Linked DNA regions of Lytechinus pictus. The protein of the gene in region 1 interacts with the protein of each later gene in a pairwise test. Links are inferred from orthologs where the notes say so. Each region holds a gene or a part of one and is shown in the gene's direction. Other genes may lie near its edges.

Region 1 (16,254 bases):
AGAAACCCTTTTCAAGTATCTTTTGGAATGACAAATCATTCTTGGAAGTAATATAAACTTTCAATTGATTTGATAATTTTGCCACAAACAATTGCAAAAATTGGGTTTCCTTTTTAGATGTCAGTTAGGGTGTGTGCATGTGTATTTAATTGTGACCATAAATACGGGAAAGAAATTTGTCTTTTCAGTTAATTTAGTAGAGTTCAACGCAGATTATAGGTCAACCAACATACATGTACATTGATAATGTCCCTACATGTTCTTGCAATTTTGAACAACTAATAGTATTCTAGAATCTGGACATTATTTTATTTCTCTCCTTTAGGGTAGGAATGTGATTCTAATCGAACTGCCAAAATGTTATCATAATAGACCATAAATGAGATGAAAAATACTCCAGAGAGGAAATCCATGATGTCTGTACTAGTCTACCTGCACAGGGAAACAAAAACAACACAAATGTTATCATTAATGAATAAAATAATGGTGTATCACTACTACAGATATAACATGTTATTGTTTGTTTGTTTTTTGCTGTTGTACAAACACATTTTTAAAAAAGATTTTTTTTCTTCTTCCAGAAATGATCAGAATAAATGTTAGTGTTTTTTTTTTTTTTTTTACAAAACTCTCTCCTTAAATTTTGCTTGATCTTTTAAAATTCAATGTTAATTAACAAGTATAATGCAGTCTTTCCATGCCACTTGAAGGGGAATCCAACTCAAACAAGTGGAACGCCTCTGGCAGTCTCGCCTGCATTACGCGATTTAATATAGCAGCAGTGCTAACTTTGAAAACTACTATAAAATAATCATTCACAAAAACACCATTCATATAATGACATAATACCACGTTCATTGACCATAGATGACATTTGAACAGTGACTTAAGACTTGCCAACTACACCCATGTCCACATTTCATTCACTCTATCCATAAACTTTCAAAGTTATGATGGCAATTCAACAATTACCCCAAAATGGCCTAAGTTTATTGACCTTAACTGACCGTTGACCTTGGTTTTGTGACCTGAAACTCACAGGGGATGTTCAGTGATACTTGATTACTCTTATATCCCAAGTTTTATGAAATAGATCCATAAACTTCAGAGTTAGGATGGTAATTCAACAAATACCCCCAACACAGCCAAAGTTCATTGACCTTAAATGACCATTGACCATGGTCATGTGACCTGAAACTCGCACAGGATATTCAGTGGTACTTGATTAACCTAATGTCCAAGTTTCATGAACTAGATCCATAAATTTTCAAAGTTATGAAGGTAATTCAACAAATACCCCCAACTTGGCCAAAGTTCATTGACCCTAAATGACCTTTGACCTTGGTCATGTGACCTGTAACTCAAAAAGGATGTTCACTAATACTTGATTAACCTTATGTCCAAGTTTCATGAACTAGATCCATAAATTGTCAAAGTTATGATAGTAATTCAACAAATACCCCCAACTTGACCAAAGTTCATTGACCCTAAATGACCTTTGACCTTGGTCATGTGACCTGAAACTCGAGCAAGATGTTCGCTAATACTTGATTAACTTTATGCCCAAGTTTCATGAACTAGGTCGTCATTTCAAAAACTTAACCTTCGGTTAAGATTTTGAAAATAATTCTCCAAACATGGTCTAAGTTCATTGACCCTAAATGACCTTTGACCTTAGTCATGTGACCTGAAACTCAGGCAGGATGTTCAGTAATACTTGATTAACCTTATGTCTAAGTTTCATGAACTAGGTCCATATACTTTCTAAGTTATGATGTCATTTCAAAAACTTAACCTTAGGTTAAGATTTGATGTTGACGCCGCCGCCGTCGGAAAAGCGGCGCCTATAGTCTCGCTCTGCTATGCAGGCGAGACAATAAATGTTTTTTTTAGGAAATAGAAAAGTCAGACAAGTAAGTTTGAACAATATTGGACAAACAAAACAGTTGTGAATTCTTAAAAGTTATACAAAAATTGGTTATCACTACATATAGAGGCTTCAAATTGGCCACATTAGTGATTTTATAGAGATGTAAAGGGAAGGACTACTCTTTACTCCTAAACATGAAATGTCTTAAATGTAATTTTTTCCCCAAAACTTGTACAATGTACTTCCAATTATTATTTTCTTCCATGAGGACATAATATAATGCTACCTGTGTTATATTTCTCTTACTGCCCCTGGAAAATAGGTACTTGGGTGAAAACCAAAATCTCTGATAACAAAGTATATGTTCAATGGGAAAGTTGTCATTGACACTTGTCATAATTTACTTACTCAGTTGTCAATTAGAAATTTACATCGTCTTAGGATTAGGCTTAGGGATCTCGCTTTTAAATCGGCCATAACTTTCTTATTGCTTGTTCAATTTCTTTCAAACTTAAGAAAAATATAGCAAATGTGAAGGAGAAAGGGGTAGAAAAATATTGCGATCCACAAACACACAAGATTCCTTGAAAAAAAAACCTATAGGAACACAATAAAGAAATCAAATGAATTGAGCGCATGGTTGAATATTAACAATTGGCATTGGTAAAAAGATATACATGTATGTAGTTTGTAATATTGAGAAAAGTGAATGGATTGAGCAAAATAAGAAAAAATATCTAAAGTTAAAAATAACAAATAGGGTTTTGAAAGTATATATGAACAACAACAAAACACATAAATTTATTATTTAACTTTTAAACTTAAAGAGAAATTATGTACCTCTAAATAATCTGTGAAAACAAAACTTCCTGCTTAAGCACTAGCCAATGAAGTTCATGACTACTAAATGAAGAATTACACTGGCAAAGATGAAATCTGCAAAGGCACGCTCTGTTGAAATTCCCTGAAAACTGGATTTATTTGCTGGGTTGACTTGTAATCTCAGACATACTGTATCAGAAAAAAAAATGGATGAATGGAAAATTAATGACTGAATTCCTTTGCAATAACCCTAACCCTAACAGCCTTGCCAAAATTGTCCAGAGCAAGCATCGCATGCGAGAGCTGCACGAAAGGCTTCACAACTCCCTCCACTAGCACCTCCATGCACTGCGCTAGTGTGCACCGTACATGTACCTACATATTACCGCGATCCTGTTCCGTAGACCCTGCTTTTCACACCACCCAGTATGTAGTCAGTTCCTAAGACCCCAATTTCAGGGTTTCACGAGGCACATCCCCATCAAAATATAATTTGAGTGCCCCCCCCCCCCCCCCCGGAATGTCTCAAACTTATCCATGCAAGTGGATGCATACTTCCAGGATTCAGATTTGTATGCATAAGTACTCGATGCAAATAACTCCTCTCATTTAATTGTCCATGTTGGGTGTTCTCAAAGACGGTCATGACGGTGTGTGGCTGTATCGACTCCGACATGTATTGGCTGGCTTTGGTCAAAGATACAAGGGTAAGATCGGACAGTACATAGAGTGCATAGTGAAATACTTGTAGTATCTTTGCTTTGGTCTAACAGTAAATTGAGTTAGATCTAACATTAGCCTCTAGCCTGGCCTTATTGAATTACAACTTCTTTACAACCACACGTATAGTGAGTGATTGTATTACCAACTGGCCTTATACATGTATTTCCAAACACACGCATCGTATGCGTCAGAAAATAATTTCATACGCTCAAAACTTTGCAACATCCTTCCACAGGAAACTTGATCAAAAATATGATAAAAATTAATGGTCAAAATCACATTTTCAAAAGTTTTTAGATAAAAAAAAATATAAAATATGGTAAAAATAGCTCATTAGTGATTTTGTTTTTTCCCAACTTTTCTCATAGAAAACACACGTTCGGTAATATACCTTTTTAAAGTGATCAAAATATTTCACATGCAAAAAATAAAAACAATTTTGGCAAAATTTTTACATATTTTGTAGGTAATTGTGTATTTCTGGTGAAAGTTTGGTGAATTCTATGAGAATGATGACAAGGGCGCCGGATGCGGGGGGCACTTGCCCCCCAAATAAAATTTTTGGGGGGCAAAACGAGATTTTGCCCCCCAAAAAAGTAGAAAAATTATTATTAAAGGACAAAAGTAAACGATGAAGGCACTTTTCTGCCTAAAAATTGTCATTTCCATTGTCAAAAATGAAAAAATTTACACGACGGGGCAATTACATATCATAGTAAGCCTCGCGTCTTTTGACGAACATGTCCCTCTGTGAAACATACCTTTGATAAGCCCCTTTTCCATCTTATTACAGTGTGATAACGTTTAACCTTTTAATTACTACTTTTCAGACTAAAACCGAATGGCAAATTGAAAGTGGTTCACCAATGCATGCTGGCTGTGTCGGCTAACAAACGCGCGGTCGCCCAGAAACGCTCAGACCGGACCCAATATTACTAACGCGCGTGAACGCTAGTTACGAGAGCAACATATGAAATCTATGTCATAGCTGTCAAGCCCAGAAACCATAACATCTCGAGGTCGTCATATTACATTACTCTAGGACCTACTCTCAATCTTCCAATTTCTCGCCTATCAATTTTACTTCTTCCGAAGAAGTAAAATTGATAGGCGAAGAAGTAAAATTGATAGGCGAGAAATTGGAAGATTGAGAGTATAGACAAGAAATTGGAAGATTGAGAGTAGGTCCTAGAGTAATATTTCTTGAAAATGTGTGTAGTTCTGAAAATGACTGTAAAACAGAAAAGGTTAAAGAGTTAAAGAGGCTTGATAAATGAGAAGATTCTAGTTTGAGTCGGCGAATGGAGTGCAGAGCAGGAGTACTCATCTATCAACTACTCAAGCCTTTTCAACTCTTCACCCTTTTCTGGTTTACTGTCTTTTTCAGGACTACGCTCATTTAAACAAAAAATCACTCGACTATCAACTGTCCATTTCCTCCCCTATCAATTTCACTTCTTCTTCTATCCACTTTTTCGAAAACTCCACATGGTGTACCGTCAACCACATCCGCTATTGGAATGTAATTGTTTTCTTCTAAATAATGTTACATAATGTACATTATGAACTGCGGTAGTTTGTTAATCAGTTCATGATTATTTACAATATGTAAAGAAAAAAGAAGATTTTGAAAGAGTCATCCAAAAGTGCTTCCCAGCCATACAAAACATGTAAACGGAAACACATAAATCGAGTAATGTTTTAAACTTTCATGATTTTCAGAAAAGTTTTAAATTGTTAGACAATTCAGCTTGTCATATTTCTTTTTCCTCCAGTTACATAATATGAAACGCAAGGCTCCACATTAACTTTTTTTGGTGGTGGCCCGTTCGGGCCACCAAAACCATCAAATAATTTTTTTTGGTGGCCCGATATTAAAGTTTGGTGGCCCGAAAAATATAAAGAGAAACATTAAAAATGAATAAAACAAACTTCTGAAATATTAATTCTGCAGCCACTACCACTAAGTTCCTTTCACTTTATACATCTTGTATGTAAACCTTGTTTGCTGTTATTTTACTTTGCTAATTGATAATTGTTTCTATCGTTGTAAAAATGAAATGATTGAAAGTGAATAAATGAATTGTATTGTTCGCAGGTTGTGTGGACTTTTTTTTAAATCTCTGTATAGAGATAATGGTAAAGTAAATAAATAGTGCATAGCTAGCAAACTCAGATAGATGTACAAAACAATGGTTTTTCCTTCCTTCCTCTTTGAATCCTAAAACCTAGATTATGCATGCCCCAAATCCAGTTTATTTCTGTTTTCTCTTTTGCAGCATATAGAAGGAGAAAATCACAGAAAAATATGCTGCAAAATTAGAACAATGCATAAAAGGGAGAAACAAACGAAAATAATTTTCAAAAAGTATATAACAAAAAGAAAACAAAAATAAAAGGAATTAGTGAAATAAAACAAAAGAAAGAAAATGAAGAAAGAAAAAAACAAAGAACAGGGAAAAAAGAAAAAAAGAAAAGAAAAAAATTAGAGAGAAAAAAGAAAAGAAAATTAAAGAAAAATTAATAAAACAAAGTTAATATAAAAATGGGGAAAAGGGGAAAATTAAGAAGCCATTACTTACATTTTTAACAGCTGTGGCAACAGTCTATTCTGACTGGAATATAATTAAAAGCCAAGCATATAATTTTCACTTACCTTTTGGGAATGGCACATTTCTATTTTTATATCCTTTAGTTTGTATTATTTTATTTTCAGTAGAAACATATTTTTTAATCAGGCATATTCAATGGGAAGGGGTATAAATGGTTTAACCACTGTCAAAAAAAATGAAAGAAAAAAAAAGAAAACGGCAAAAACTATATATTGGAAAAAAAGTGTGAGAAAAGTCCTTCCCTATATTTGCCAAAATGTTGGGGAAAAAAATCACATTTCATATCAATGAAATGCCTTCCCAAAGTATTTACTTTCTCAAGAGTGGTTTAAGAAGTCATTTATAAACAAGAAAGAAAGAAACTGTCTGTTTGTTTAAGGCTAGAAAATACACAGCTTCGAAAGAAATCAAGTATCAACATACATACAAATGCACACGTGGGACTGTGATGTACTTGCCTATGTGTTTTTATGTGTATTAATTCATGTGGAAATCGGTCTTTTTGAGTCAAAAGAGAGGTCATAATTCCTCTTCTTAATACTTGCAAATAATCAGGGTACACCAGATTTTCGTAATATAGACTGTAGAATTTCATTTCATTGGTGTAAAAGGTGACTTTGACTTAGATTTTCAAAGTTCTGTGGAAGATTTCTCAGCAGCAACATTTTTTATCGCAGCTCCCTGAGTCTGAATAGGCTGAGCTAGATCTAGAGCACAGCTGTATGCAGTGGCTTCATGCAAAGCTCACGCCAGCCGGCCGGCGCGGCTGGCTGGATAATAGCTACTGTATGCTATAGCTGTAGGCCTAATATGCAAACTGTGTGTGTGTGTATTTGTGTGTAGATCAACAAAAAAGGCGCATGACGAACTGGCTTGCAATTTGAGCTGTAGAAAGTTGATAAATGCGTGCAAAATTGGGAGAAAAATTGCGCTACTTTGAAAATTATTGGTTGCCCGATTCGGGCCACCAAAACTTAACATTTTATCAATAATGGTTGCCCGAGGTGAATTTTTGGTGGCCCCGGGCCACCGCTAATGTCGAGCCTTGTGAAACGTATTGCCCATGATAATCAGGGACTATATCTCCAATGCTGATGTCAGAAATGATTTGCATAGAATGGGGATTTAAGTGCTTATCGACGTTTGTCACGTCAGAACAGTATGACATTTTGAATTTGAAAAGACTTTCATTAGAATTTCTTTTGTTTCTGTTGTTACGCTTCTTCTGCTTAATACACTCCTTGTTCTGACAGGAATTACTTGAAACTTATGATGATTGTGCTCTCTCGCGTCGTCCGTGTATGTAAATGTACATAAATAAATGTTTCTGAAAGGATATTGCATGAAAAATGTAATTTCTGGTATTTTGAGTCAATATAAGCGTAATACGTAATTTAATTGATCAGACATGAAAACCACATTCCGAAGCGATCGTTTTGCGCGTAGATTTCATACTCATAGGTTCTCATAAATTATGAGTATAGTCATTCGTAGTGAATTCTATGTTTAATTCTCAAGAAATTTATTTTTGAATGCTCTTAGAAACGCAACTTTTATACTCCATTTTTACACAAAGTCCTTATTTTTTAGTTACCATGGGGGGGGGGGGGGTCCCACACCCTCTCGATTGCTTCGCCTTCGGTATCTCACGCTGTCAAAAGTATTGTGCCCCCTTCGGGATTTTGCCCCCCCAAAACTGAAAGTGTTCCGGCGCGCCTGAATGATGACGTGTTTGATATGATTGAATTCATGAAAAGTGTGCTGTGCGTCATATACGATCCACCGCCACCGGCTCGCTCAAGCAATATTTCAATGATTGATGACGCCAACTAAAGTCAAATTGGGTTTAATTCACAACTTTAATTCAAATACAAAAAGAATGCTTCCATTTTTTTTTAACTGTCCGGACTGACGGACATCCAAACACGCTGAGCGTCCCCATCCCCCATCCAGGCCCCGGCCCCCATCAATCGTTCTCCCCCGGACTTACCGGCGAGCACGAAGGATCCGACACTGGAAATGAATCCCGAGAGGAAAGAGTTGAACGGGAAAGTTCCAACAAGTGCACAGTAGACAAATTGCACAACCCCAGTCAACAGAATGTACGTCAGGTATGCATCAATTATTTTCAACTTAAGTGGTGTTCTCGTCGTGTATTCATCATAAAATTTGTTTATCACGGTGAACAGATTTACAGACATTTTGTATTCTTTTTTGGTTTATGCAGTGAGAAATTGATGGCCGTGCTACGTGTCGTTGTCGTGATCGCGTCAAAAACTGTATGATGGGAAGGGTCAGGAATAGTTTAATTAACAAATATTTCAATATTATTAATGACTATTTTACTTTATTGATAGTCGAAATAAAATTATTTTATCATTTTTATTAATAAATTAAATCTTTAAAAATTATTTTTAATTATCGTTAAATCAATAGTAGTATTTAAAAAATTATAGTATCGAAAGAGCCTACAAATGGCGTCTGCTATTGTCATATTTGACCTCGTGTGCTCATGTAGCGTAAATCTCACCTGCGACTGGTACGGTCTCCGACGTGCCTGCGCTGCCTGCATTTACCCGCACGAGGTCGATCGAGAACGGGCTGGAGACTCCAATCAGCCGACAGTAGTAAACTTAAGCTGATGTCTGTCATTTAACTTCAAGATCAAGATTAATACAGGTAAATTTAAGCCAAGAATTTGAGATTTCTTTTTAAAATAAGGGGCAATTGTTGTGGTAACGTTACGATTTAAAAAAATGTGTGCCAAATAGCCGGGGCAAGTTCAACTAGTTGCTCAGCTGGCGCTGGCCTAGATGCCAAGAAAATTGCTGAGAAATGATTAAAATAAGCACGGAATTTCATCAAATGTCTAGTAAGTATTTTTCGAAGCAATAATATACACTGTCCCACATTAGACAGCTGGCAGCCGTCTGTTTCGAGGAAGTTTTTAAAAAACATTTTAAAATTTATTATAATTATTTAAATTTCTCCTCGTACACGGACGGCTCGCGATCGTGCAGCCGTCATTAGGGGGTTAACAATGCAAAGTCCCCGACGGGGCTCATTTTTTGTGTCTTTATTTCATAAAAATATATAAAAAGAACTGGACCAAAATAAAAATTATTATTCCATTTTGGCCTGAACCAAAACGGGGAAAATACAAACTTAAAAGGACAAACAAAAATGACTTTCTTCGGCTGTCGTGCAACTCCCCTTCGTTGGTTTATCCGAACTTAATACATAAACATATATTGCCATTGAGTCCGGCCCTGAACAGATCCCCGGGGGGGGGGGGGGGGTCACTTCCATTGATGAGTGGATACCATGCGCGACCATGGGGTCTCGAAAAGCACCCTAAACACGTATTTTCCGAATTCTGAAAATGCACCCCTTAATAATAGTAGGTATTGGCGTCTGAAACCCTACCCTTAACAAGTATTAGAAGAAAAAAAACGAAACTCTTGACAAGTATTCCCTGAAATGAACCCCTAAACAAGTACAGTGATGGGTCCGTCAGTCGTCGGTTTTACCTTTACACACCATTTGGTTTAGTACGGCCCCATGCACCTTCTACACCTCGCGCAAATCTGACTCTAAACACGTAGTGCTGGGGCAAAAAGGACATCCTTAATAAAACATTTTAATTTTGTTTTATCATTCCCGCAAATATGACCCTAAACACGTAGCTTTCCTAGCGAAATAGATACCCTTTTTTTCATTATTTTTGTGTTTTTGACACCCTTATCACGTTCCGTACGTAACATGCCCTATCTTGAAAAAGACATCCTTTTTACGTGTTTTTTTGGTCGCGCATGGTATCCACTCGTCAATGTAAGTGGCCCCCCCCCCGGTACAGATCGAGTTAGAACTTCGGTCTCTGTAATTGGTGAGTGGAGCCAACGGAGTTCAGCAGAACAACCAATATAACAGAGATCGAAGCTTTTGGTCTAGTCCCACATGTGCTTTTCTGTGTTGGTGATGATCAGAATTATTGATTTTGAGCTAAGATTTCATGATTTTTCAAAGATAAGTTTACATTAATGTACCAGATGCAGATCGTTGATTTTTTTTTTTAATAATAATTTTAATGTTTTTATACACAGTTCTGGAAAAAAAATTGAGGGGCTCAAGGCTGGCTGTGAGACCAACAACTCTGTTATTTGTATATATCTAGTCCTTTATCTACAGTAGACATGTAATAGTTGCATGATCCCTAAAGCGTGTGTATGTTCAGTCACAAGAGATGAATGATATTTGTCTTTCTTTCATTCATCTCATACATAAAGGTGCGTATTTCCCTTCAAAGTATCACTGGGGTAGTTCCTTAAAAATGGAATTGGCTGTGACATCTAGCAAATCAACTCTGGAAGAAGACCAACCAGCCAGCTCCAAGCTTAGTCTCTTGAAGCAGGGAGCGGAAGCTAGGATTTACAAGAGTACCTTCATGGGTCGTAGCTCCATTGTGAAGCAGAGATTCAAGAAAGCCTACAGACACCCAAAGCTGGATGCTAAACTATCACACAAACGAACTGGTCAGGAGGTCAGGACTATTGTCAAATGTAGGAAGGCTGGTGAGTGGGAGAATGTTCTTATCAGGCCAATTAGCTTATTCGGAACAATTGCATGATTGTGTGAAATATAGCATATAACTTTGTGCCACCCAACCTACAGTCACAATTTCTAATTTTCAAACCTCATAGAATAAATCTTTATCAAATATCAAGTTTACAAAAAATTTTATCTATTTGAAAGATTTTCATTTCATCATCAGATATAGAGAAGGGATAATTTGATTTGGAACAATGGCATGATTATGTAAAATAGCATACATGTAGGCCTAATCTTGCAATCCAACCTCCAGTCACAATTTCTCATTTTCAGCCATCATTGTTTAAATCTCTACATTTATTAACTCTCATTTTCAGCCATCATTGTTTAAATCTCTACATTTATTAACTAAATGAAGATTTAGATGATGTACATGACCATCAACTAGCTCTGTGGTCTTCCCTTTGGTATTTTTATTATGCAGTTGGATCTGCTCCAGTATTTATTGCAGGTGGAGAGAAGAAAGTTAAGCTTGAACAAGAATTGCACACATATGATTTTTGCACATACACAAATATGATTAAGGCAGATCAATAAGAGATTAGTCAGAAATAAGACATGTTTAAGATCTATTTTGGAGACAGGACAAACCAGGGATTGAATCTTTGAACCAACTTTAAATATTGTCAAACATAATTTTAAGTGTACTGCAAAAAGTTGCGTCAAAAAAGTTATCTATCGTAAATATGAATTTTATTTCATTATGTTACACCCCAGATAAGACAGGGAAGGGATATATTTAGAGTACAGACATAGCCTTGTGTTTTTCATTGATATCTAGTTTTGTGCCTACTTCTCTTTCAAATTCACAGGAATTACTACACCTGTGGTATACTTTTTCGACAATGAGACTCATTCTATTCACATGGAATACGTAGAGGACTCCCTCACAGTCCGTGAGTACATCCAGCAGATTCAGAGCTCCGGAGCATCTATCGACGATGAAAGACTGGTATCACTAGCGTCTAAGATTGGAGCAACCCTAGCATCTATGCATAGTGTGGATGTCATCCATGGTGATCTAACAACCTCAAATATGCTTCTACGTCAGCCGTATGAGGAATCGCATCTGATCATGATCGATTTTGGACTCAGCCAGATATCACATCTGTGGGAGGACAAAGGGGTGGATCTGTACGTGTTGGAGAGGGCTTTTCTAAGCTCACACCCAAACACTGAGGAGCTGTTTAAGAGAGTCCTTGATGTCTATACAGAGAACTACAAGAAGTCTGGAGATGTGATGAAGAAGTTGGAGGAAGTAAGGCAACGCGGCAGGAAGAGGGTGATGGTCGGGTAGCAGCTATAATCAACCGCAGTTTATCATGTTGTACATATATATTTCATTTTGTTAACATGAGAGAAGTCTCGAGAACGTCCGATCATAATTGTTTGTGACTCGTCAACCCCAAACCAACAATAAGTAGCCCAAATTTAATTTTGAGATTTTTATTTGAACTTGAAAAAAAAATCCTAAGTTTTAAAGTGAGATAGATATTCCTTTTCAAAGTATACCAACAATAATATGCAGAAGTACTTGATTGAATGTAGAAGAAATTCTGTGACACTGACTTTAAAGATTGAGAAAACAAGATTTGAAGTTTGGGGTTCACTCTATCATGAGATGTGCACACTGCACAATCTTTGTGAAACATGTGAGCAATCCAGAGAAAAAGTTGTGTCAAAGAATCTTGTGTGTCTCGTCTTCTATTTATCTTTACAATTTTGACAGTGAAGAAGCATATTTCTTCAGATAAGCTAATATTCACATTTTTACCTTATGAAGAGATTTTGGCTATTTACAGAGAACCTTTCCAGGTGACTTATTGTTGATTTGGGGGTGGTGGATTGCTAATAGTGGTGACACAAAGTTTTCCCCCACAATAATCACTAATGGCTCCTTTATCAGAAAACAAGGGATAAGGATGGGGATAGAACTTTTATGAAATAATGATTAGATGTAGGTTAATAAGTTGAGAGTAAGTTTGTTGAATGAATAAACATACTTTTAATGAATAAATATGCTTCTGATTGAATGACTATCACAGCCAAGGGTAAACCACAATAACTAAACCTTTCGAAATAAATTGAAATCTAAAATGGCAATGAATAGATTTTCCGTACACTGCCTAAGAGCACCCAGCTGGCAAACCACTTGAGTGGCTAAATGTGTCACATAGAAACCAAGCCCAAATTCATAACGGTATTGGTGGAACCTTTTTCACCAAATCTTACAAGATTTTAAGAAACTAGTGACTGCTCAGCTTGAACAGCTATGTATGACTGGAAGGATTGCAAATATTGAATTTAAAGGGATGGTCAGGGCTGAAAATATTTATATCTAAATGAATAGAATAAAATTCACAGAGCAAAATGCTGAAAATTTCACCAAAATTGGATAACAAATAACGAAGTTATTTAATTTTAAAGTTTATCAATATTTTATGAAAACACTTATATGCACATCATCATGAATATTCATTAGGTGGGCTGATGTCACATCTCCACTTTCCTTTTTCTTATGTTATTACATGAAATCATAAATGTTTCATTTTTTCATACATGTGTAAATGATGTCTCCATTATGATCAAATAAGTTGCGGCAATAAATAATTAATGCACTTAATCAGTTTTCAATCCAACTGTTTTTGTTATGTAATAAAATACAAAAGAACAAGTGGGGATATGACATCATCAGCCCACCTAATGAATATTCATAAAGACATGCCTGAACTGTTTCACCGGAATAATGCAAATCTTTAAAATTCAATAACTTTGTTATTTGTTATCTGATTTCGATCAAATTTTCAGGCTTTTGCTCTTTGAATTTTACTCTATTTATTGAGATAGATATATCTCCAGCCTGGACCATCCCTTTAAATGAATTAGTGATTTTTAATTCAAATAGAGTTACTGCCTGCCTTTATTTCCATTGGAGCAACTACCTTCATTTCCATTGAACTACAACCAAACACTTCACAGATGGAATCATCATGGTATAGGCGATTCGTTAGTGAACCAATGCCATCAATCATGTATTTAAAAAAAAAAAAGTGATTTGAGCAAAATTTGACATCTTTATGTTTAAGAGCAGTCATTCTCAATTACATTTTGGAGGTGCTCCACATTTCTTGTTGAGAATCTGTACTGCTCCACTAGTGCTAATGAGCGAAATATTGCTGAGGGCCAGCTAGGGCCCCTGGTGGGCTCGAGGGGGCGGAGCCCCTTGAAGCTTCGGAATATGAGGCTTTTTAAATGGCCAAGAGGGGATCTAATTAATATCAATACAAGAAACACAAATGCAAACAAACTACACGATTTAGTATTTTTCAAATGATAAGTGACTTTTCACAACATACCATTGATACCGCTAGTTCACGAGGGCATGCACATATCACAGCAGGCAATACCTTGCAACATTTCCCTTTCACAACCTTGGATTTTAAATAATCGGCTTTGGAAACAAAGTTTCTGATTTTCAATATGACTAAAACTCCTTCTGTGAAAATTTTTTCGTGATGCCGAATTAATATGCAAATTAAGAACTTTATTTTATATCTGTATATAATTTATGTCACCACATTTTCCGATATGATGTGTTTTGCCAGGAGTCCAAGTTGTTGATTAAAAGCATGGCTTGTCAAGTATAAGAATGTTAAATTATGTATTTATTGTCATCATTTCAAATGCTGCATCTGAGCAATTCCATCAATTTTCAATGCATAATCTGGAAATGTGAAATTACTAGCCGTAGAAAATAGTTGAAAACGTGATAGATATCCAACCGACGAACGGGGCTATCAGATCACTTGTGATCATAGAGATAATTTGTATAGGCCTACCTATATCATGATGCACATACCGACTATTGACAGTCGCACATGAGTCCATAAACCAAGCATATAAAAACCATAACGTTAGAATAAATAAAAATAAAATCAATGAAGTTTAAAGTATAACTTACTTGTTTTTTCCCTTTGTGTAAAATTATCATCAATCATCAATTTATATACATATTTTCCCAATTTTTTCATACCGGCTCCCACGCGCCACTCCGCAAGGCTCGTTGCGCCACAAGTGGTGCGCGCGCCGCTGTTTGAGAATCCCTGTTTTAGAGGTTTTTTTACATTTGTGGTGAAAGTTTGATGAATTGTAAGAAAATATTGCAATTGATATGATGGAAACTTTAAAAAGTATTTGGTAGTATGTTTCACTACAACAGCTTTTAAAGTAATTATAACTTGAAACCCTTGTGCAATATAAGAGTGCATTTTTTCTATGTGTAGTTATCAAAGACAAGACTTTCTAATGAAGATGTCTAATTGCAGAAATATCTAGGTTGAATTTGCAAATCAGAAATTAATTGATTTCAGTAGTACTCACACAATATCACTGATTCCATGCATTCAAATTGCCTGTATGTTGTACTTTATCTTAAACCCTTTGGTGATTTCTTTCTGTGTACATCATAAAGTGTGATGTAAGTTTAAGGTGAATGTGAAATTTGGAAATAATCAAAACATGTTGAATGCATTTTGGGCCATTTATTCTCCACTAGAAATGTTTTTAATGTGGATTGGCTAAAGGCTGGTATACCACTGATCATATATACATACTGGACACCTCAAATGATCACATGAATAATACAATTCGGGTATTTTAACATAGATTTACATTATATTTATGATCATGATTCATTAATTTACAGACAATGAAATACAAGATGCATACATGTATACAATTACATATTGGCTCTCGAACTTAAAATATAATATGACATGACAAAATTCTTTATATTTCGTAGTCACAAAGTCTATAATATATTTGGTCCATGTAAAATACAATTTTTTAAAGTAAATGCATTAAATATTTAATTCAATTCTATATTATTACAATGTTCTTTGAATCAAAAGTTCTGAGAACTATACAAAAAATAGCAGCATTGCATGTCATTGAAAATATATTATTTCAGGTATAATTCAGGCATAACCAGTTTTTGTCGGCTTTGTTGGTAATGCGTCCATCTCACAACCGGAAGGACAGGAAAGACGTTAAAAATGGTGAAAAACGCTTGCTGCTGCTACCCCGTTTGGCGTTCAACAGTTTAAGGGATAGGGCAACATTGATCAGGCACTGCTCAGTGGCTGCTGGGCCCCAAGATCAATTTATTCAGATTTCTATTTTGAACAATTTGGAGTTTCTGCTTCTTTTTTTTTATATGGGTTGTCTTAGCTTCAATGGTGTGACAAAAGTGTCCTCATGATAAAATATAACCTCCACTCTAACAAGAAAACTCAAATTAATTGGTTACTTTTCTTTATTCACGTATCATTTAAGTTATCTTTGTATGTAATTCAATTTACAACACAATATTCAACATAAAATGCCTCCCTGGCACAGTCAACATAAAACCAAGTTAGAGTTGTCTCATTACATCATATAATCTATCTCAGAGGAAGGAGTTTCACGAATCTGTTTGTACATTACACATGACTTTCACACGACTGGTGACTAATCTTAAGTGGGTACCAAATCAGATTCACAATCATTTGAATTCCCATCAGCTCAGCTATTTGAAACACAATCTCTGTAGATAAAAACTCTTGTTCTTCAAATCAGATG
Region 2 (16,386 bases), on another chromosome or scaffold:
ACTATTCATGTTTTGTAAATCATGAAAAGGATGAGTATTAATAATGCAAGCGCAAAGCGCGAGCAGAAATTTTTTATATACGTTTTGAACTGGTACCTGTTGAAAAGGTAACTGTTAAGGACTGCTTGCACTTAGCCATGAAGGCGTGACATATTTTCAACAATCAAAAGATGCGAGCGCGAAGCGCAAGCTGAACAATTTTGAACTTTCTAAAGAAAGAATGGAAAATTTTAATTAAATTTTTTTAATCGTGTACAGGATAGCTATATAATTTAATAATTGATGCGAGCGCGAAGAGCGAGCAGAAGAAAAAAAATCGAGATTTAGACCTAAAAATGGGCCACTCCGTTCATGTTTTGTAAATAATGAAAAGGATGAGTAATATGGGGTCTTCCTACATTAATAATGCGAGCACAAAGCGCGAGCAGAACAATTTTGATATTGTGATCTGAAACTGGATAATGATTTAAATAGAGAACAAGTTAAGTATCTGAATAAACATGCGCGCGCGTGTTTCATATTTAGACCTAGAATCTAGGCATTCTAAATACATCTTTAATCATGAAAATCATGAAACTTTGATATTCCGATCTGAAAAAAAGAGTCAATTTCAGCTTTATATTTCAAGCACTTTGTAGAAAAATTGTAAGGTGGATATGGATCGCACTTAAAAAAGAGCTGATATTTTCATTATTATTACTCTGAGTTTTGACATAGGACCGGGACATCCTTACGACATGTCATCATATGAAAATGATGACTATTCCTCTTGCTAAGCGAGATGAAACAAAAGGGACAATTTGATGATCAAATTAATATCATATTTATTAATGCCTAATGAGGGCGCGAAATCTGATGATATTATGGCATAAAAACTGGACATTTCACTTTTGTAATTATGAATAGGAGGCATCAGTTAAAGTATTTTTAACCATTAATGCGAGCGCAAATTGCGAGCTAAAATTTTTGATAAACTGTCACGAAAAGGGGTTTTTAAGTAGTTTGTTGTATAATCAATATTGAAACATATATAACTCGCCAATCAAAATGCGAGCGTGCAGCGCGCTAGCTGATACGTCTTAACAATCAGACCTGAAAAGGGATATTTTGAAAACTTTATGAAATACACGAAAATAATAGGTACCTGATAAATGAAAATTTGCGAGCGCACAGCGCAAGCAGCAAATGTTAATATTCAGACCATAAAACTGACATTTTTACAGAGCACTTTTTAAAAATCAATTTGTAAATCACACAAAATAATGAAAGTTCGATTTCCGAGGTGAAATATGTTTTGTATATTGACTTCCAAACTTGACATTCGAGCTCCATATTGAACAAGATATGTAAATCACCTAACAGGCAATGCGAGCGCGAAGCGCGAGCGAAAATTTTATATAGTGGCACGAAAGATTCTTTTTATTTTCCAAGTCTTCCCCTCATCTTATTTTATTTACTCGTCGTCCTTCTCTTCTTTTTCTCCTCTCCTTTCCTTCCTTTATTCCTTCTTTCTTTCCCTTTTTACTTTTTTTGCTCCGCCAAGAGGGGAGGGGGGGCGGGCCCCTCGGCCCCCTGGTCCGCCTACGGGGACAAGGGGCGGGAAAATTTAACAAGCAAAAAAAAGTTTATCATCCCAAAAGTAAGGTCATCTCGTCCCAACTTGTCCCAAAATACATGTTTTATTTAGATTTAGAATGATGTATTTCTTACCATCATAAAAGACCAAAAATAGTAGGGGGGACATTTGATATTGTGTCCCCCCTACTATTTTGAGTAGGGGGGACACGTCCCCCCTGTCCCCCCTGGGATTTCCGCCCATGATGATGGCGATTCCTCAAATAATCTGAACAAGGCTAAACTTCGTTGACCCTAAGTGACCTTTAACCTTATTCATGTAACCTGAAACTCAGGCAGGATCTTCGGTGATACACTATTTCCCTTATGTATAAGTTTTATGAACTAGATCCATATACTTTCGAAGTTATGACAACATTTCAAAAACTTAACCTTGGTTAAGATTTCGATATTGATTCCCCCAACATGGTCTTATTAGTTCATTGACCCTAAATGACCTTTGACCTTGGTCATGTGACATGAAACTCAGGCAGGATGTTCAGTAATACTTGATTACTCAAATGTCCAAGTTTCATCAACTAGGTCCATATACTTTCTAAGTTATGATGACATTTCAAAAACTTAACCTTAGTTAAGATTTCAATGTTGAAGACGCCGCCGCCGTCACCGTTGGAAAAGCGGCACATACAGTCTCACTCTGCTATGCAGGCAAAACAAAAATCACCATGGTTGACATCTTAAGGATTTAATTACCATGATCATCTAACCATCCTCTGCTAGTTAAACTTTATGGCAATGACAAAAAACACTAGTTACTATTTTGCTTGTTTGTTACAAATTCTAGGAAACAAGGCGACAGTACATCCTGTGTGTGTAAAACAAATTGTGAGGTTTTCAGGAGTGGAGACCGTAACGATTATGGAAGATAAAGGGATCAATTTCTCATCTACATCTACTATTAGATCGACTGAACCTTTCTATTATATAACAAGAGATTTTAACAAGTTTACATTGAGTAGAACAATATCTGCCAAGAAATGGACTAAGAATTCATATATAAAGAAATTCAGGACTTACTAGATTAAGAAGATTTCTGCTGATCGCATTTTTGTTTGCAGGTCTGTTCATTCCAAATACAACAATCCCTTGAAAAAAAGAAGAAGTAGAAATTCCATTCTCAAATCTAAACATCCATAGTACATCATGACTTTGGGAGAGGAGAGTGGGGTGGGGGTAGGGTTTCAATGACTATAAACTGTTAAACTGTCCCTTTAGCTCTGTCAAGTAACCTGGATACATTTATGCTTGAAAAAGAAAAGCTTCCAATATGATTACAAGACTTGATCTACATTCACTAGTCTACAAGTAGTGGGTCTAGTTCTCAGATGGTCTTACACCACTTGGGTAAAACTCATTTGGTCAAGCTTGATCCACTTAGCCATATTCTCTTCATTTAGTCCCATGTCTAGTTGGTCAAATTTCCACTTTGTCTACTTTTTCATATGATTATGAAGTCTGGTTTATAGTTTAAAGCAGGGTTGTTGATTTTTTTTATTAAAAAAAAAAAAAAAAAAATCAGATTTTTTTTTATTTAAATCGGATTTTTATGATTTAAATCAGATTTTTTTTTTTTTTTCCAACGAAAAACAATGGTCACACTTAACAAGTTTTAAACTATATTTAAACTGTTTTACACCAATAATAGTGGTCAAGTAGTCTTTTGAACATTGTGTATTGTACTATTTGACACAATAATCCACTTATATACAGGTAATTTTTTTTAATTTTTTTAAAACTTTTTTGGAGTGCTTCTCTAAATGATAACACTTTAAAGCATTTTTTGCTCTGTTTCATTTCTATATTCCCATAGACATGTTAGCATACACGTGAGAACATGCAACTCAGATTTTTAAAACTGAACACAATGTTAACCAATGCCTTTAAGCCATTGTAAAGCTTTATCATATTAAGACTTGTTTCCACAGAAATAGGGTTTGCAACTCTAGAGCTACATCTGGTATACAAAGCATTCGCAAGTCACAACTGTACGTTAACATCTAATTTGAATGTAATATTTAACCAGATTTGCAATAGGCACTTCCTGATATGCTTGTAACAAAATACACATTTTATATTTTCATTACAGTGTAACCTCAGTTCCAAGTAAAACTTCAATAAATTTTGTTGCAAGATGCAGGATAAGCACCACTGTCCACCACATCATTGATGTGCTGTTTTTTTTCAAACTATTAGTGAACAAGCAAGCACAGCAGTTGTATTGCTGCATACAGTAACACTTGCCCAGCAACTTTCCCATTTTTAAATTCTTACTTATTAAGTATACATGTGTACTTTGAAATTGTGTAATTGAATGTATGGGTATTGATAAGAAAATACACAAGCATGCAAATATACATGTAATTCTTATCAAATGTACACATATGCCTTCAACTTAAGTAATTGAAAGAAACATGGGTATTAATAGTAACAAGAAGGAGGTACATACAAGTAGTTCAGCTGTTTTGTAAAAGTATCCAAGTTGTGGACTTTGAGCACCTTTGTAGATTTTATATATTATTTCATTGAAGATTTAACAGTTTGGTGTACATACAGAGAGTTATTTATCATTACTTCGTTAGAAACTTGTTGTTTTCATCAGTTTTGCTTGTTTTACAATTTGAAAATAAAACAGTGGTGTCAAATCAGACTCCATGAGGGTGTATCATTCTTTTAAAGTATCTCTAAAGCATGTGGAACAGAAATGAAAATGATTACATTGAAAGTATCTGTTAAGAAGAAGAGAAAATAGAGAAAACTAATTTTTTTCATAAAAGTTAATTTAAATCAGTGATTTTTTTGAAAAAAAATCAAGTGATTTAAATCGCGATTTAAATCATGATTTAAATCGACATGATTTAAATCAAACAACCCTGGTTTAAAGGTCAAGTCCACCCAAGAAAAATGCTGATTTGAATAAATAGAGAAAAATCAAACGAGCAAAACACTGAAAATTTCATCGAAATCGGATGTAAAATAAGAAAGTTATGACATTTTAAAGTTTTGCTTATTTTTCACAAACCAGTGATATGCACAACTCAAATGAGACAGTCGATGATGTCCCTCACTCACTATTTCTTTTGTTTTTTATTGTTTGAATTATATATTTCATTTTTTATAGATTTGACAATAAGGACCAGCTTGACTGAATCATATAGTATAAAACAATGCTCATTCCACATGTTCAGGGAGGAATTAATCTTTGTTTCACTTGACAATGAGGAGAAAAATAGAATATTCCGTATTTCATATGATAAAATATAAAAGAAATAGTGAGTGGATGACGTCATCAGTCTCATTTGCATACCCACCAGGATGTGCATATAACTGTTTTGTGAAATTAAGCAAAACTTTAAAATGTCATAACTTTCTTATTTTACATCCGATTTTGATGAAATTTTCAGTGTTATGCTAATTGGATTTTTCTCTTTTTATTCAAATCAACTTTTTGTTTGGGTGGACTTGTCCTTTAAAGACCAAGAAGACAAAATGGGTATAGCCTACCTAGAGGTTTGAAATTAGAAAAAAAAAATTATTGGTCATACAGGCCAAATGGAAAGTAGAAAAAATATTCTTCAATTTTCCCAAAAAAATTTAATACTTTCTTAGTATAAGGGTTTGGCAAATATCCGAGGGGGGGGGGCGTACTTAGTATAAATGTATATCTATGTGCTACGATTGAAACCCCCATTTTCAGCCTAAATTTCTGGTCTAGAGCATCAATTCAGAAAGCCACAGATATTCCTATTTTTTCCCGCTCCGGAGACCCTCAAATTTGTGATTTCTCATTTCAATGCACGCCCTTCATGAAATCTATTGAGCCTGTCGGAGCGGCAAGCTCGATCGGTGCAGAGCCATAGCGGCGGGCTCCCGAAGCTCCCCGCACGCCCGCAGCTAGCTTGTTCTAGCCCGACATGAATCTAGCAAGACGCTCGCACATTTTTTTACATAGACGTTATCAATTACACCTACGATCAAAAGAATTCTGGAGACCCCCCCTTCTTTATGTTATGTGGTCAGTTCCAGAGAATTGCATTTTTAGCAATCGTTGATCCAAGAGCCGTTCAGGAGACCCCCGTTTTTAGACCAAGATTTAGTTCCAAAGCCCCATATTTTCGACTTTGGCGCAGCACATAGGTATTATGTTATAATTCAAGTAAAAAAAATTGTGACAACAATTAGCGATGAGAGAAAATATAACCTGGAAGTCGGATCTTGTGAATATTATAAGGTGCTCAAGTATTTTTATTCATATTTTTTCAGGAATATATATTCTAGATAGATCTATACAAGCAACAAGATGATCTCTGACTCTGTAATAAAATGGATTATTGTTAATATGGACCTCAAAGTATACGATCATAAGTTATATACAATGATTTTTAATGAGGTAATACTAAGTTTCGCGATAAGTCATTTTTATTTTAAAAAAAAAGTGTTTCTAGAAATGAAAACTGATAGAATACTTCTAGTTCTTACGAATTTAACATGGCGATAGATAGATTTAATCTAGATAGATCTAACAAGTTAGTATTCGAGATGTAGACCCGGGGGGGGGGGGGGGGGGTGGAGGCCACTTCCATTGTAGAGTGGATATATATACCAGGCACGACCAAAGAAGTGCATCAAAAGGATCTCTTTTTCAAGACTGGGCACGTTACGTACGTAATAAGGGTGTCAAAAACACTAAAATACTGAAAAAAGGGTATATACTTCGCTAGGAAAGCTACATGTTTACGGTCAAATTTGGGAGGGAATTTATATATGTAGGCCGGCCTACTTTTCGCCCCAACACTTTGTCGTGTCCGATTTGAGCGAGGTGGAGCGGTACCAAACCCAATATAACTTATGTAAATAAAGGAAAATGCTGACGTCTGTGACATAACAATTTAAATATCGCTGTAGACCTAAATCTACTTGTTGAGGTGTACACTTTAGGGATCAAGGGTAACTTTTTTTTCTAATACAAGCCTAATAATTAAGTGCATTTTCAAATTAATTACTCATTTAAGGCGGTGCTGCACCATCCCGAGTTTGCTCAATCTCGAGATTTTAGCCCGATCGGCCCTCTTCGCGATTAATCTCGAGATTCAAGAAACCCCGTCTCCACCATCGCAAGAAGAGCGATTCCTGCTCGAGCGAGGCAACAAGCCCAATATTCCGAGCATGCGCACTTTCGGATCTTGGAGTTTCAACGGCCCGCGCTTTTGAATAACTTCCCGCGATATGCAATCAAATACATGTAGGCTACTCCTTTCTCTAGCACTTTCGCCGAATTCGACAAGTGTTATGCAACAATCCTCTCAGCTCCGTCAGCCGCGCTCAGCGAGTGAAGAAGTGATGTATTCTTCGTTTAATATGATGGCGGAGAAGGAGGCAACGACAGAGAGAGAGAGGGAGAGAGAAAAGGAGGAGGAAAGAATGCTATTTGCTCACATTTTGCAAAGGCCATTAAGACGACACTGCTGTCAGTGTTGTTATCGACTATGAACATCGTCGATAAATGAGCGCCTCCCCCATATCCATAGGTCTGGTCTCTCCCAAAATCCATTCACTGTTGGGACACCATCGTTGCTGATTGGGGAATTGATGAACGCTATTCGCGATAATGTCTATTCGCGTGTATAAAATAGACTTTCGCACGTGTTTTTGTTTTGACCAAGGCGGAAGTGGAACGCGAATTGCATTATGGACTGACGTCATGAATAAATTACCCCGAGTCCAATCTCGAGTGCGTCTGCACCTTCGAATTAGCGGGATAATTCGTAAAATAGCGCGCTATTTTGCAAATAAACCCGAGTTGACTTGGGATTGCAATCTCGAGATTAATCCTACGAACTAGCGCGATAATTGCGTCTCCACTGCAAACAATCTCGAGATTTTTCAGATCGGGATAATTTGCCGGATCAGAAATAGCGCGCTAATTTGAAAACTCGGGATGGTGCAGACGGCCCTTTAGAGTACTTTTCGAAACCCCATGGTCGTGCCTGATATCCACTTGTCAATGGAAGTGCCCCCCCCCGCACGTAGACCCTAATTAAAGTTAGATTCTTTGATTAATTTTGGTCACTTGGACCAACTTTAGGCGTGCTGTATTATTGCCAGATTTTTAAAATAATTTTTGTTAAAAATCTAACTTGAAAATTCCAGGAAATGTCTATGAATTTCAGGAAATTTGGGATTTAGTTTCGGGAAATTTGTTTTAACTGTTGTTAGATCTGTGGTCTGGAAACACTGTCCTACTACCACCCAAGGGTTCATTACATGCCGCCGCGCACAGAAAAATCAAGCCATAGAAGTCGTGTGTTGTCAGTAGAGGCGCACGGCCAATATTGGAGACTGTCTCCAATGTGGGAGATATCTCCAATATCAGAGACTTTTGTAAAGAATTTGGGTATCCAATTTCAGAGACAGTCTCCAGTTTTGGAGACCAATTTCCTTTGTTTACATTTGCTGCAAAAGGATTACCTTGGCGGCAAATAAAAATGTGATAAGCAGATTCCTCATGAAAAATTACCCCTTTTCACCGTCTCCTTTAAAAATTCACCGTCTACTTTTGTTTTGATAAGGATTTTTGTTGTCAATCACACACAAAACAAATGGGCTTCTGACCTCAGTGAGACAAAATTTTGGGTGGAAAAAATCATGCTTTTGTTGGTGTTGTTTCTTTTGTCCTTTTGCAAAGCAAGTCTCCAATGTGGGAGATTGTCTCCCCTATTGGAGAGAGTCTCCCATATTGGCCGTGCGCCTCTACTGGTTGTGGACCCTAGAAGTGAGATCCCAGCACACGCGACCCACTAGTTAGAAATCCACTGCCAAACGCGGTTCGTGGTGCGAGGTTAGTATACTAATACTAACCTCGCAATACGTGCGAGTGTCCTACTACTAACGTTAGTACTACTATAGCTCTGTAAAGAGGACTGTACTCAACGGAAGAAGAAGTTAGTGTCCATACCAGAGGTCACAGTAAACAATTGTTCATACCAAGGACAAAGACCCAGAAATATAGGAATTCTTTTTATGTTAGAATACGTAAGACATGGAATAGCCTAAATAATGAAGTTGTCACTGCCCCAAGTGTGCACAGTTTTGAAGCTGCCCTGCCCTGGAAAAATGAGCCAATAAAATATGACTACGAAAGCCTTGTTCCCGGAAGTGAGCCAGCCATCTTGAGGAGGAAAAACCTAGAACTGAATACAGAGGCATAACATGCCTACATTCAGAAACTTCCCTAGGCCTAGGTATCCCTTCTAATACTAATAGGTTAACATGAACCGGTACATACAGTATACTACAGTCAGATGTGATCGCTCCCCCTCATCTCAGACAGTAGTAGTACTACTACTAGTAGTAGTAGACTGTAATTTTAGATTCAGAATACGAATTTGGTCAATTAGCATGATTAGCGCTCCATTATTTGGGAGGACTTACGAGGAAAGTTATGAATACCCCCCCCCCCCCCGCCCTGTATGCCACTGCACTGCATTGCATTGCATTCACCCATATATGACCATGGCCATGCCCCACCCACACTCCAGTCACAATCGACTCCATCATTCACAAGCCGGCTAGTCACACACAAAGTCCGAACCCGGCGCGTGAGCGACGGCTATGATTCGGGGCCCAGGCCAGCCGGCCGGCCGGGTACGGTGGAAAGGTCGGCCAGCCGGTAGCATGGTTACAATACAGTCGGCAGCAGCAGACACGCCACTAGCCTCACTTAATAGTAAAACACACCTCCATCATCCAAATAGCTGACTTTGAGATCATCTGCAGGAGAGCTAAATGTTCGAGCTACAGGTACCAACAGCTGCCTGGTAGTCAAAATCTTAGAATTTATACCAGTGAACACACCGGCGTAGCGGATCAGTTTTGTCAGGTGAGAAGCCATTTTTCTTTAAAGCACGCATGCAGCTTGTGCACGTGTGTACCGGTAGGTGCTGGTGGTGCTGCCCGCTCGTTCCCGATGCAAATGCGATCGACAACGGCGGCCAGGCCGCGCCGGCAAGCTAGCTAAGCTACCGCTCGGCTATACTAAATAGCTTAATAATATTTAAGCATTTGGTATAGACTATAGGCTAGATATGGCTATCTGAAGCCGGGCGGGAGTTCCCCGTATTTCTGTGTTAATGTTGTTGTTGTTAACATCAATCTTGAAAAAGGAAGTTCATCTTGACATTGAAAATCATGACCATGAATGCATGATGACAATGTCAATGAGTTTGTACCGGTAGTAGAGTAGAACTAAAAACAGAAAATTGGTGAAGGTTCATCATAACAGACTAATACAAATTTTTAAAAATGTTTGTGACATGACATCGACATCGTAGGCTTAAGATTAGGAACATGTTGTAACACATATGTCATCTAAGTTAGATTCTAAGTTAGATAAGTCATTAAGTGATTCTCAAGTTTATGTTACATCACAAAATCTATGTAGGATGTGTATACATGAAATAAAACTGGTCACCATTTCATGCAATTTCATAATTCATTTTTTTTATGATGTTCATGCGTATCGGTACATTTTATATAATTTATCTCCTCTCCTCTCCTCTCCTCTCCTCTCCTCTCCTCTCCTCTCCTCTCCTCTCCTCTCCTCTCCTCTCCTCTCCTCTCCTCTCCTCTCCTCTCCCCTCCCCTCCCCTCCCCTCCCCTCCCCTCCCCTCCCCTCCCCTCCCCTCCCCTCCCCTCCCCTCCCCTCCCCTCCCCTCCCCTCCCCTCCCCTCCCCTCCCCTCCCCTCCCCTCCCCTCCCCTCCCCTCCCCTCCCCTCCCCTCCCCTCCCCTCCCCTCCCCTCCCCTCCCCTCCCCTCCCCTCCCCTCCCCTCCCCTCGACTTTTGCTAAGATGAGGGTTTGACCAAATTGTTTGACCCATTGACAATGAGCTGTAACATCCTAATAACCTCCTCATGTACGTAGATCCCCTCTGTTCTGTTTGTACAACCCTCGTCAGCAGGGAAAGGGGTGTTAGAGTTTGATCCCCTCCCCTTTTTAGGCAGCCCAAGAGGGTAGGCTAAAATCCCCTACACCCCCCCTACATTGTAGATCACCATTGTAAATAGCTGAATCAATCTGGCCAGAGTGTCGGGGTGGAAATTGAGAGTGACTTGTTTAATTTGGATTAAAATGTCTGTAAAGCTATGCATAAGAAAGTAATATGAAAAAGTAAAATGGTGAACTTATCTGCAAATATTTCCAAATTTTAGTAAAATATGATTGTATTGAATTTTATTACATGATTAGAAAATTTGAAATAAGATATAATAGCATGTAAACAAAATACTTTTAACACTTGGGTCAATGGTCTCTGAAAGCAAGATGATTCATACATGTAGTTGGGCATGATAATTTTTTAAATATATACAAATAGTATGAAGTATATGTATGATTAGAATTCTATAATGAAGTATACATGTAAGTCAAAGAGGATTGCATTTCCTAGGTGAACATCACACATTGGAGTTCAAGACGAAAATTCCACTCAGTCCAAAGCCGATCTCTATTTAAAACCTGTACCAGTGATTAGAACCAATCTTTGTCAAGTGTGATGGCAGTGTATACACCTATCTCCATCCACAACCCATCTCTCCCTAGGGAGGGATTATTTAGATCAGTGATGAGGATGGCCTTGAGTGGGATGTGTAGAAATATTGTTCTTCAGCAAGTAACAATATTTCTATGCATCCCACGGAAATTGGTCATCCAATATTATAATTATTTAGATACCCCAACAAAGCTAAGCATAAATTAATGAAGCAAAAAAAAAAGTTGTTACTCAGCATTTGATGTCAATCCTGTAAATCATGAGCATGGCGACTGTAAAGAGTATTGTCATTTTCTTAAAAGAAATATGTGTAAAGATGCGCTAGCGTATAGTGCAAGTGCATTTGAATTAAATAAATTGACGCAATCTTGCTCCTTTGCCACACCTGGCAACTAATGCGCAATGCAATATCATTGTGACGTAACAATAGCTTTATGCGCACAATCGGTTATTAACCAATGATAATCTCGTAGGCGGGGCAAAATATTCATTCATCCAATATGGAAAATATTGAATGGTTTTCATAGGCATACACGTTAAAAATCAGTTTTAAAATATTTTGTCTCTTTGAAACAACATCGCAAGACGTCAAAAAATATCTGTGCCTCTAAAACCCTGCATCTAAATAATGATATGAAATATATGTACATTCATAAAGTGTATTTTTCTCCCTTGATGCAGCTGGTCAGCCCATTTCAGATAATGGTAGCAGTGAATAAGGCACTCCATGCACATGCCACTGGCCATGCAAAAACCAGGACTGTTAATTCTGAAATCATCTATAGCCTGTCTCCATCCACAAATGTAAGCTTTTGGGTTTTTTTTCTTTCAAAGAATGATTTCAACTTTAATTTGCTCTATTTCACTTATTTAAAATTGTTTACTAGTATTGCTTATAATTATATATTTATTTAAGTAATTAATTTATTTACTAAGTTATTTATTCCATCTATTCATTATTTATCAATTATTTATTATTATGAAAAAATATTGTAGAAGAGAACATATTTAGTTATGTTTTTATTTTTTTTATTTTCTTCCTTTTATGGGGCTTCTAACTGGATATTGGCGTATATATATAATAGGCTTTTCTAATGGGTTAGTAAACTACACCAATAATGCTAAATTTGTTTGAAAGTAATATGGTATACACATTAATACAAAATAACGTAGTTGATTAATTTGTTTGCATACTTTGCTTTGTTGATAGGCATATTTCTTACAAAGGATATAGAATTAAAATGTCATTCAGGAATCTATCTTTCAAGAATTTTGCAATGGGGACATATCAGTGCTAGGTTTTGCTCCTAATGAATCATCAATAGCAAAAGGTGATAGTACATAATCATGTAAGTTAGTGCCTACATTATTTAAAACTTGGACAGTATTTACTGCTATGTAAGAAGCAGAATATTCTTGAATATTCTTATACATATCGCTTAAGTATTTGCAAATAAGATCTACTGTCATATCATTCAAGTATATTTATTGATCTCTTAATTGTTTACAGATCAGTGAATCCTTCAAGGTTTTTGCAATGGGATCAACTGACACATCAGTGGCAGTGGTTGTTTTAAATGATCCTGATCAAACCAACCTGAAGTCAATTGCTGCAAAGATTGAAGGAGTTTGTGTTCCTCTATCTCAACTCTCCATGCATACAGATGAAATCATGATCAAGAAGGTATTTGCACATAAAAACATTCCTTTGTGATATTCATTGACCTGAAGAAGACAAATCTGTGTAATTGCCCAGAATCCTCCAGTTTGCCCCCCCCAAAAAAAAAAAAAACACACATGAAAAATTGAACTCGGGGCTTAATTCTGAAAATAATCACAGGGAGATCAAGGATTTAATATTTGGGGGAATCGGAGAGGGGGCACAGATTATTATCCCAAATTGCCTGTCTCCCAATTTGTTTTGCAGTTGAACAGTGTAATTCATGAAGACAATAGCTTCAAAAGGTGCTGAACAGTTACATCCCTACCAACACTATACATGTATGTACTGTCTGTCAGAGAAAAAGAATATATTTTACTTAAACATAGTATTATTAATTATTAATTGTATTTTGCTTATTAAAAGCAGGGTGAGAAAATCAAACTTCATGATGTTGGATGGAAAATAATTCAAACAATTCAAACATTCTATTTTATCCCAATATTTACAGAAATACTCCATCAGTAAACCAGAACTTTCCGTAGGATCCCTAGAAGATGCTGTAATCTGCAAAATGGCAACAAGTGATGTTTCCTGACCAGTCAGGTGATTTTCTTGTGGACAAATAGACTCTCTTACAAGGAAAGCCGATTTGAAGGACACCATTATTATGGAATGCAAAGTGCTGTGGCCTGTGGATGACTTGATGGATTCTCTTAATATGATTCTTCAGACAGTGAGATGTTTTTAATTAAACAAGGGTGAATGTTAAGCACTTGAGGGTGCCAAGTCTGCGGACTTCGCTTTTAATCTCGGGCAACAGCTTACAATACCACTGCATCATCAACTGAACCAGTGTACTACTAGTATTATAGAAGAGTTCTTGAATCATCAAGAGTGTTGTAAGCATAATAGATTGAAGACATTTGATGTATCAAAGTTTCATGTCTTTCAAACCATGATATTTATTGAAGACTTAGAAACGTCTTGTTGAGGAGGTATCAGGAAGCTGTCTCTGATATACATGTACTGTATGTTGCTCCTAATAGCAAAAGGCTTGATACATTTAAGTGTATATGATTCAGAGAAAAAAAATGTAGCCTATTATGTTACAAAATGTTAGGCGGCAAGTTTGGTACAATGAAATATGTTCTAATCCCCAAAGGTCTAAAACATTGGCGAATCAACCAGGTAAATATTTTTCAAAATGTTCTTTGCAGCAGACAACTATCCCCCATTGGGGGTCACATTCCTCATATTAGGCAATGGTACTCCAATAGTTATTATAAATTCATGTCCAATTTGTTGGTCAAGAGCAGCTACATGGATGTAAAAACTATACCCCCCCAAAAAAAAAAAAGGATTTATAGAGTAAAAATTATTGAGCGCTTGGAGTGTTGTGTCCGATAGATATCAGTGCAATTTAAAAAAGCCTACTGATCATTACACAACATGGATTATGCTATAAGAAGTGAAGTCTAATTGCCACACAGAGTCTCTGCATACAATGGGTGCATTTTACAGTTGAAGGCACTGAAAGACCCAGAACGGACCCAAATGTGAAATTGAAAAATCATACACCAATTGAAAGCTTAAACTACTAAGCAAGCAATGTAAGCTTTCATGCATATACACCGCTTGTAACCAGCTGAGTATTTTGCTTTAAAATAGATCCAATTATCAAGCTTCTAAAATGGGCTTTTTTGTGTGCTTTTTACGGCCTCAAGAACTTGATGTCATGTAGTAATAGAATCGTTGTGATTCCATAGGTTTGTACACAGACAACCTCAATAGCCAAGCAAGGAAATCTGAGTAACTCTGTTCTTTTTCATTAAAAAAAAAATGTGAAAATGATGGATCCTATTGCTGATTGGTCATCATACTGCAGTTCTAGGTAGCATTCTTTGACTCGCCAAAACTATATATAAAAATCATGAATTTATTCACAAATCTCATGTGCATTTAGACTGATAAAGTGAAAGATTGCTACATGTAGGGGGTGTGTTTTTTTTTAAATATGTTTACAAAGTTATATATGAGTTTATGCATGACTGGGACATATTTAGGTGTTAAGTCAGCTGTTAAAGGGTGCAGTATTTACATGCAGCATAAGAAAGGGTCACCAGTTGTGCATAAAGTCATTTTTATGTATGATGACAACAAAACTTAATGAAACCCTTACTTTGTGTAAAAATACACTATTCCCTTGAAGAGTTGGGTGATATTGTAAATGAATGATGGGATGAATTAAATGCAGGGTGATACACATTTATCATGGCAATGATGATATTTATTGTCTATGTCATGCTGAAGTAGTTATGCATCAGATAAAAAGATAGCAAGTCAAGTAATTGTCAATTGGAAGAGAATAAGCTAAATTCTGTATTAAGCAAGTCTACATGTAAATAAACCCAGAAAAATATAGAATAAACCAATATTAGCATGAATATGTGTTTGTTATCTGAATGGTTGAATTTGACAAAATTTGTGTGAGAGTGAAAGGGAGCTTCATGTGCTTGTATGTATGAATGCATATGTTCACTGTTGTATTATTGAATTAATCTACGGTATCCCTCTTTCAATTTATCTATTTTGCTTTCAAACTTGCACATGTATTTGCATTTTATCTCCATCTCTTTTTTCTGGTTTTTCCACTTGTAAAAGGGGAAGTTCACCCTGAAGAAAAGTTAACTAAAAATAGTAGGAAAAAAATATAGGTGGTTTGAGGAGAATAAATTATAACTGGGTTCCAAAAGAAACTTATCAAACTTCACAATCGCACAATACAAATTCCACTCAGTCAAAAATGAACTAATTTTGACACAGGCTAGCTTCAATAATCTTAACTCAGCACATGTCAATAATTAAAAGATTGGTTGAATAACAAAGAGGCTGTAGCCCCTCAATTCAATAGGTTCCGGAATCCTAAGTCACAAAATGGCAAAAGTAAGACCAATGAAAATGAGATGGGATTAAACCAAATGGTAATTATTGATTGATATTGAGTCCATTCATGCATTATGCTTCTTTGACCTAAATACATATAGGTGCGTTTAATGCTAATTTTAACCTACTGTAACTTCTCAGTTACTGAGGCAATTAATTAAACATGCCGATGGTCATACTGTGAACTTTAATAAACTGGTAAATTTGTTTAATCCCATCTCATTATCTTTCTTTTACCATTTTGTGACTTTGGATTCCGGAACCTATTAATTTGAAGGGGCTACAGCCTCTTTGTGATTAAACCAATTTCTTAATTATCGACATGTGCTTAGTAAAGATTATTGAAGCTAGCCTTTGTCAAAATTCTGTTCATTTTGACTGAATGTAATTTGTATAGTGCGCTTGTTAAGTTTGATAAGTTTAGATTAAGAAAGTTATTAGAATTTTAAGTTTGGCATTTGTGAATTCATATACAAGCAGCTGCCCCATACAATGTATGTTATGTAATATAAAATGCATAAATTTTGATATTTTTAATGGTTTGTGATGACCTTTTTTTCTGGGGGGGGGGGGGAGGACAGGTGTGAATTAGTTTGAAGGGG

The links.
Region 2: the proteins of EKC/KEOPS complex subunit Tp53rkb-like (region 1) and EKC/KEOPS complex subunit TPRKB-like interact in binary tests that used the Homo sapiens proteins (3 or more experiments, as listed by UniProt). The link is inferred for Lytechinus pictus from reciprocal best matches to the Homo sapiens genes TP53RK and TPRKB.

The regions. Positions count from the first base shown.
Region 1 is NC_087246.1:58,198,930-58,215,183, forward strand, and holds EKC/KEOPS complex subunit Tp53rkb-like, read left to right. Parts: upstream 1-8,503; 5' UTR 8,504-8,706; intron 8,707-10,313; 5' UTR 10,314-10,357; coding exon 10,358-10,598; intron 10,599-11,447; coding exon 11,448-11,932; 3' UTR 11,933-15,931; downstream 15,932-16,254.
Region 2 is NC_087247.1:45,959,090-45,975,475, forward strand, and holds EKC/KEOPS complex subunit TPRKB-like, read left to right. Parts: upstream 1-9,600; 5' UTR 9,601-9,856; exon of another isoform or gene 9,857-9,874; intron 9,875-11,705; 5' UTR 11,706-11,811; coding exon 11,812-11,982; intron 11,983-12,688; coding exon 12,689-12,862; intron 12,863-13,349; coding exon 13,350-13,436; 3' UTR 13,437-15,273; downstream 15,274-16,386. Other genes in the region: methylglutaconyl-CoA hydratase, mitochondrial-like, read right to left, coding at 2,653-2,720, 9,370-9,523. UniProt on the Homo sapiens protein: Component of the EKC/KEOPS complex that is required for the formation of a threonylcarbamoyl group on adenosine at position 37 (t(6)A37) in tRNAs that read codons beginning with adenine.